Caenorhabditis elegans: one gene and its partner. Changing the gene in region 1 together with any one later gene gives a genetic interaction. Each region holds a gene or a part of one and is shown in the gene's direction. Other genes may lie near its edges. The genes, in order: unc-54 and R10H10.7.

The links.
Region 2: of unc-54 (region 1) and R10H10.7, changing one suppresses a phenotype caused by changing the other (phenotypic suppression), as found in Caenorhabditis elegans (one study listed by BioGRID).

What each region holds. Positions count from the first base shown.
Region 1 is NC_003279.8:14,861,436-14,865,362, reverse strand, and holds the start of unc-54 (Myosin-4), read left to right. Parts: upstream 1-1,880; 5' UTR 1,881-1,912; coding exon 1,913-1,975; intron 1,976-2,537; coding exon 2,538-2,666; intron 2,667-2,714; coding exon 2,715-2,855; intron 2,856-3,336; coding exon 3,337-3,793; intron 3,794-3,873; coding exon 3,874-3,927. UniProt on the Caenorhabditis elegans protein: Required for muscle contraction.
Region 2 is NC_003282.8:10,412,229-10,416,155, reverse strand, and holds the start of R10H10.7 (TTI1 C-terminal TPR domain-containing protein), read left to right. Parts: upstream 1-2,227; coding exon 2,228-2,366; intron 2,367-2,680; coding exon 2,681-2,838; intron 2,839-2,885; coding exon 2,886-3,033; intron 3,034-3,078; coding exon 3,079-3,329; intron 3,330-3,377; coding exon 3,378-3,706; intron 3,707-3,751; coding exon 3,752-3,927. Other genes in the region: F13B12.6 (SH2 domain-containing protein), read left to right, coding at 67-370, 417-768, 1,244-1,441.

The sequences.
Region 1 (3,927 bases):
TACAGGAAGTTTGGTTCATTGTACAGTTGGGTTTACATTTAAAAGAATATATCACAGAAAATCAAAGAACGTGTAATTTATCTTATCATCCCGGAAATTTCTTCCAACTGACCCTTGGCTTTTGTGTATCTCTTATTACAATCAAAAAACCTCGTCTCCTCCCGGTGGAACCCAGAAAATGCTGCTGGATGCTCCAAGCGCTCCCACATGCCTTCAAACTCCTAGGCGCCTGGAGATAGTGTTGCAATCAAGGAGAGCGCGAGACGAAGAATCAGTTGTTACTTTTGTCTGGGTCTCTAGGGGTTTCGTGATATTCCCGTGTTGTCTTACAGCATCCGCGAATTGTTTTCGTCAGGATGAAGTATGAGATTGTGGGATTTGGAGAGAAGCTGATTTGCTGGAGAAGCACAAAAATCTGAAGAAAATGTTTGAAGAAGATAAAGCAAACGGAAAGACTATCCAGTTACATACATACTATCATGAGAATGATTTATGAGCCTTTTCGTAAATTTTTAGACAGATACTATTATCAGGAGACCTTTTAAAGCAAACGCGACAACTTCATAGTAGTTACCAAGGCTCGAAAAATTGATTGGTGCAACTTGAAGTTCGAATGAGTAGAATTGATAAGTATTACAGGTGCCTCCAAATCGATTGTCCGCCACAATGATATACCTCGAATCCATCTGATCAAAATTATTACTGTAGCATTGAATCGCAGTACCGTAATCAAATATTAAATATTTTTGCCCCCCTCTCCTCTACGTATCAATAAAAATAGTCTTAAAACTTACTTCGACTCCAAAGTAGGTTAGTATCAATTTTGCAGACTTTATTTGTAATGCATTTCTAACAAGGAAATTTTTACATTTTACCCTCAAACTTCAAAATGAGACATGTTTCATCTGAAGTGTTTTAGATTATGTCACGAAAGGTATGTCACTGCAAAATTTTAAGCAGCAATACTTTTCTCTCAACCCCTAAAATATCGATCTGAAATTGTCTCATTTAACCACTACTTTAGAGACCTGCATAATTGCTCTAAATGCTTTTTTGCAAACTTTGAAAGTTTTTCAGGAAGTGTAGGTAAACACTCCGGGAGGTTTTTAAAGAATTGTGATTTTTTTGGAGAATTGGTCTAAAAATTTTTTTGATTTTTTTTTTGAAAGAATTGTTATAACAATTTTCTTGATTTTTTTGCAAAAAAAATTAAAGGAAAACTGCACTGAAACAATTTCAGATCAACAATTTTAGGGTTGATATTAGAGCTTTGCCGCTTAGAATACTGCAGTGAGTATTTTCGGTTTTCACTGGTCTCTGTAAAAAGAGTAATGCAAAGGCAAGTTAACTAGGTCGTAAATGTATTGATTTGCTTAAAATCTGAAGATCTAGTGGTGAACCGTGGAAGATTATCAAGAGGAGGCTGAAGATCTGTTTAAGAACCATTAATCAAACTGGTATTCTATTTTCACTGGTTGTATGTAAACATTCTATCTTATTCCTTTTATCACTGTTCTGCACTTTCCTATAAAAAAAGTTGACCGACCGTACTCTCTGAATTCATTTTTCCCGATCTTACCAACTCCCGATCTATCTCTATCCCTGGTTTTTTCTTCGTGCTCCAATGGAATTCTTGAGACTTCCACTATCTTCTCTGGCACCCTCCACTACGCGTAGGCGTCTCTCGCTTCGTGTATTCCCGGGAAGCCGGGTTCCCGTCTCTCCCGCCGCTGCCGCTGCCGCACACAGCTTTACACCTCGTAGAATCCCCAAAGAGGGGCGTGGCTTGCGGGTGCCAACATCCTCCTGCCGAGGAAGAAGCAGGCACTCATCACTCGCATCATCAACCTCGACTAAGGGAGCACCACATTAGTTTTGAGGTAGAGAAACCATTTGAAAGAAGCGAGAAATCATGGAGCACGAGAAGGACCCAGGATGGCAATATCTCCGCCGTACCAGAGAGCAGGTTTTGGAGGTGAGTATTTATTTTTTATTTATTTATTTTTCTTTCATTTGTCTTTATTGTTATGCTCATTTCTATAGAGTAAATCGTATAGTACTCCATAAGTATCTAATTTTAACAAAACTGAGCATTTATTTTTGAAATTCTAGATTTTTAACATACAACTGAGTTAAAGTCTGCCATTTTACACTTATAGATTTTTTAAATTCAGGTAGAAGATTTGAGCTTGCCTTGTAATCCTTGTAATCAATGTTTATTTCTGTTTTCTAATTTTTCATAGATTTAGCTTCAAGATCATCTTTCCCTTGAAATCATTGAAATCTTCCTTTCTTAAATTTTTGCATTGCACTTGGAATTTTGTGACACATTGTGCTGCAGTAGTACTGTATTTTGAGACGGCACATTTATTTTGACTACACCACAAGCTTAACCTTGATTTTACTTTTTGATTCCATTCCATTCATGGGTCTAAAGTGTGAAGCGGTTTAGACCATTTTTCAACACAAGTTGGTATTCTTTAGAAGTGATATATTTCTGAATTCTGATCTCTTTTGTACCATTATTGTAATTTCAGGATCAATCTAAGCCTTATGACTCCAAGAAGAACGTCTGGATCCCAGATCCAGAAGAGGGATACCTTGCCGGAGAAATCACCGCCACCAAGGGAGACCAGGTCACCATCGTCACCGCTCGCGGAAATGAGGTTCGTTTTTAAGCTAATGATTACGGTTTTCAATGTAGTGTGATTCAGGTCACCCTCAAGAAGGAGTTGGTTCAAGAAATGAATCCACCAAAGTTCGAGAAGACCGAAGACATGTCCAACTTGTCTTTCCTCAACGACGCCTCTGTCCTCCATAACTTGCGTTCCCGTTACGCTGCTATGCTCATCTACGTAAGTTTCATTGAAACTTAAAGTTAAGCATTGAGAATCATTCATATTCTTCTTCTAAATTCCCATAAAATCCCGAAACTCCTTCCCTCTATCTTCTTTTCTTCTCGTTTTCAAATGTTTCTCTCTATCCCATTCTCTCATCAATTGAGTGGGATGAGGCTATCTCTGCCTCTCTTCTGAATCTCTGAACCATCTTACATTACACTGTGGATGACGGGAGCCCCACAGGCTCCCTTGCATCAGATACTGCCATTGGGGATGGCAAAGAAGAGAGAAGGTATTGTGAGGATATATTTTTCTAAGAAAAAACGTTTGAAGAAAAGAAGATGAAGAAGATCTGCTTGATTCATTGCACAAGTTAGAAGTAACAGGGGTCTATATTTCGAAGAACTTAAAGGGAATGCAACTGAACATAAAATTAAACAAAGGGATTGAATCCTGCAGTATTTAAAAATCGAAACTAGAATGTTTCCTATTTCAGACCTACTCCGGACTTTTCTGCGTTGTCATCAACCCATACAAGCGTCTCCCAATCTACACCGACTCTTGCGCCCGTATGTTCATGGGAAAGAGAAAGACAGAAATGCCACCACATTTGTTCGCTGTCTCTGACGAAGCCTACCGTAACATGCTCCAAGACCACGAGAACCAGTCTATGCTCATTACCGGAGAATCTGGAGCCGGAAAGACTGAGAACACCAAGAAGGTTATTTGCTACTTCGCCGCTGTCGGTGCCTCCCAACAGGAAGGTGGAGCTGAAGTTGATCCAAATAAGAAGAAGGTCACCCTTGAGGACCAAATCGTCCAGACCAATCCAGTACTTGAAGCCTTCGGTAACGCCAAGACTGTCCGTAACAACAACTCATCCCGTTTCGGAAAGTTCATCCGTATCCACTTCAACAAGCACGGACGCCTCGCATCTTGCGATATCGAGCATTGTGAGTTACTTTTTGATTTATATTCTAGCATAGCTCAATAAAAATTATGCAACTATTGTTTTAAACTATAAATTTTGCAGACTTGCTCGAGAAATCTCGTGTCATCCGTCAAGCTCCAGGAGAGCGTTGCTACC
Region 2 (3,927 bases), on another chromosome or scaffold:
TCAAACGGATTGATAAAGGATACCGCCGAAAAATTCCTGAAATACTAATTTCTCAAATAATTTCAGGTGTTCGAATGCGAGCTCCTCGTTTGGATGATGGGCAACAAGTTGAAGAAGTTCAGAAACGCGAGTCTGAGATCTTTCAAAGTCTTGTGGAGGAACGTGAAAGACTTCAGCGAGAAGCTGAAATTATGGAAGATCGTCAGAATCCTGATTGGGAAGAACAAGAACGTAAAGCTCGTGAAGCTGAAAATGCTAAAAGAGAGTTGGCTCAAAAAGCGAGAGAGAAGCATCAACAAATGATACGAACCAGTGAAAGTATCTTACCAGCACTGAAAGATCACAAGGCAGGAAGCTTGAGAGAAGCTATGTATGTTTTCATTCATCCATATAATTTTTATATTAAAAAATTACAGCAAAAATTTGCCACGTCCACCAAAGCCAAAGTCCCGTGCAGCTATCATTGATTGGTTCCAACGAGAAGAACTTCCAAGAGGCACTGGACTGGATCCGAAAACGAGAGCTCCAGCTCCATGGTTCCATGGTATCATTTCAAGAGATCAATCTGAAGTTCTTTTGACGCATAAACCTACTGGATCATTTTTGGTCAGAGTATCTGAGCGAATATGGGGATATACAGTATCTTATGCTTCACGTGATGGTTCATTCAAACATTTTCTGGTTGAGAAGATTAAGGAAGGATATCAGTTTTTGGGAACCAATCAAGTCGTTCATGATGAGCTTTTTGATTTGGTCGCTTATCATGAGGTAACTTTTTTTTGAAACTTTCTCGGTTTTTTAAAGTTGGTGTAGTTAGTGTCGATGAGGATTTTACTTCAAAATAATTATAAAAGGCCGATATACTACTACGGAAAAACTAAAAAACTTGTTGAGTTAGAGAAAAAATTTTGCCGAATTTTCAATTTTGGATAATCTCCTCATTTGAATTGCCGCGCTTTAGACTCAAAACTCCGCCCAGTTTTCCGTGTCGCACTTCGACTTTTTTCAATTTGGACGCAAAACCTTCGTATTTCACTTAATTTTCAGATGAAAAATAGCAACTTTGAAAAATCCTGCCATTTTGTTGTAAAACTACAAAACATCAACTGTTTGTTGAATTCTGAAAGAAAATTTGAATGGTTTAGTAATGTAATATTTTTTACAAAACTATTCATACATTAAAATCTATCAAAAATTCTATGAAAAGCAGAGAAATGTTCAAATAAATTTTAAATTATTTCAGACTGCACCCATAACAGCTAAAGGCGCTGAAATACTGAAGTGGGCTGTTGGACAGCCAAGACAACCAGCCGATTACAATGAGTTGATTAATGTAACCATTCAACCAGTTAATTTATATGGAGGAAATTCTTATTCATCTCGTAGCATCGTTCGAACCATTCCAACGACGATTTTGAATGGTCCCGTTGGAAGATTTTAGATGATTGCGATGTTTTCGCTATATTATTATATATATGCCTGTTACTTTTTCCTACACATCTCACTCCTCTTTTCTCATTTACTAAGTCTTTCAGCCTTTTTTCATTTCCTTTCTCTTCTCAAAGATGACTGTCTGTTTTTGTCGTTGATATGGTTATTCGATGGTCGGAAAAATATTTTTCATGACTTGTAATAATCCCATGTGTTCAAACCTATCACACTCAAATGCTACAGGTTAAATTGTAAAGTACATTCTCAGGTAACTTATTCCAATTATCACCAAGCACCCTCACCCAACCGCATCCTTCCAATTTAACACACCCCGTGCCCTTTGTATCCGTCGATCTCACTTCCTTCATGTGTTGTATTGAATTGAAAAAAGTTTGAAGCAAGTGCGCCCTTTCGGATTCACTGAATTTTTGTTTTGAATATGTAATAGTTGTTTCAAAAGGAAATGATACGACTATTAGCTACTTTAAATTCGCATTTCTTTCTCTTTATCAATTCATTTCAACACTCGATCATCCGCTCACGCAGTTCATCAATAATTCAAGAACGGGTCCCTCTTGATCTATGTCTTGATTCAATTTGACCATTTTTAAAATCAGTTTTTATACGTTTCCACAAAATCTGTCCGTTTTTCTCCCTGTTTTTCTTTTTAATAAACTTTCGTTTTGAATGTTAAATAGAATTCTTTCAGAAACTAATTGTTAAATCTTCAATTAATTTATGGCGTATTTCCAAAATTGTCATCGACATAAAACTTTTGGAATCTTTAACTTTTCAGATGGAAATAATGAGTCGAGAAGAAGATGGACGGCTTTTTCAAACTGCCACCAACAGTATATCACTCATAATACAGTCAAAAAGAGATGGAACGAGAATTACAGATAAAATCGTGGACGAGATTGTGCTTGTTCTACAGAGTATGTAGGCAATTTTTGTCGGTGATTTTTCTATAGAGAGAATATTTAAATAAGCACCAAACATTTTATAAATACAAGGTCCTGACACGAAAAATTTTGTCAAATGCAAAAAAAGTCCTGTAATTCCAAACTCTCATTGCTGCGAAGATTTACAGTAATCTTTGAAATCGCACAACTTTTCGGATATATATGTGTATATAACAATAATATGATCGTGTCGAGACCCGTAATTTGACGCTAAAATCGCAAAATTTCGCTTCTGGGTTATATTTCGAATTCCGAAATTTATAATCGAAAAACAAATTATTTTTCAGTGGAAGAGATGAAATTCTCTCGGACGCAGCAACAAACTGCCGGAGCTGCGATCATCGTTTCATCGAAAGCTATTCTTCCAAAAATGACAACTCCCGAGAAGATTTCACTGATTCGAATGTTCAACCAAGGGCTTGAAATGATATCCACCTTTGATGAGGTTTTGTGAAGATTTGAACATAATTTAAAACTGTAATTTTTTTTCAGCTTCCAGGATTTCGTTGGTCAAATGTGCAGCCATTGTTCCACATGTATATGGATGCAATTCCTAGAGACTCACCTGGTGCCACGAAAGTTTTGAACTTTCTTCTCAAAATTTTCGATGTTCTTAAATCATCGCCCCACGTGAATGAAGGCAACTTTTAAAATTTGAAAATCGTCTTAATATTTGTTCTTTCAGATTTCTTCAGTTATCATTCAATTCTCACGTTAGGACGTCTCATTAACAAAACAATGGAAATTATCACAAATTCAACTTGTGACGTAGAACTTCGAAAATTGGCTCTAGAAGTTGTATCCCGGCTCATTCGACAATGTCCTCCATCAAAAGCACCCACGATTTCGTTGATAATTTCAGGTTTTTTGGGGAATCTCATGAAAACCATGAAAGGAGTTCAAGTTAATGCAGAGTTGATGGAGAATTCCATAAATGTGAGTTTTTTTGTAAATTGCCAAAGCATCGTATAAGAATATTTTCAGTTGTTCACCGATGCAGTTGTATTAGTATTCAGTGATAATGCCGAGAAATTCGACATATCAAAAATTAATCTGGAGCAATATCATCCGGAAATGCATAAAATGTTTGATAATCAAACTGTTGAATGGAGACAAAATGGAAGTGATATCATTTTCGAATACATGAGAAATTTACTCAGTTTCGGTTTTAATCATCGAGTATTCGACGTTAAAAAAGCCATGTGCCAGATGATAATAAAAATTCAAACGGAATGCGGACAGCTTTTTGGAAAAAGAAATTATAATCTTCTCATGAATCAATACTTTTATTTACGATATGATGATTATCCATAGTGAGTGAATTGTATCAAATTTCGAGAAAAAAGTTCAAATTTCAGCTTCCAAGAACTGGCAGAAAAGTGTATTTCTCTTGTAAATGATCGAGAAACCATTCGATTATTCTTCATGAAACAACTTTCTCAATATACTACCACACTCCCTGTTCTTTCACGAAATGGAGGCAAAAGTGATCAACATTTCAAAGCACTATGTGCAAGTTTGCGAGCTCTTGGAG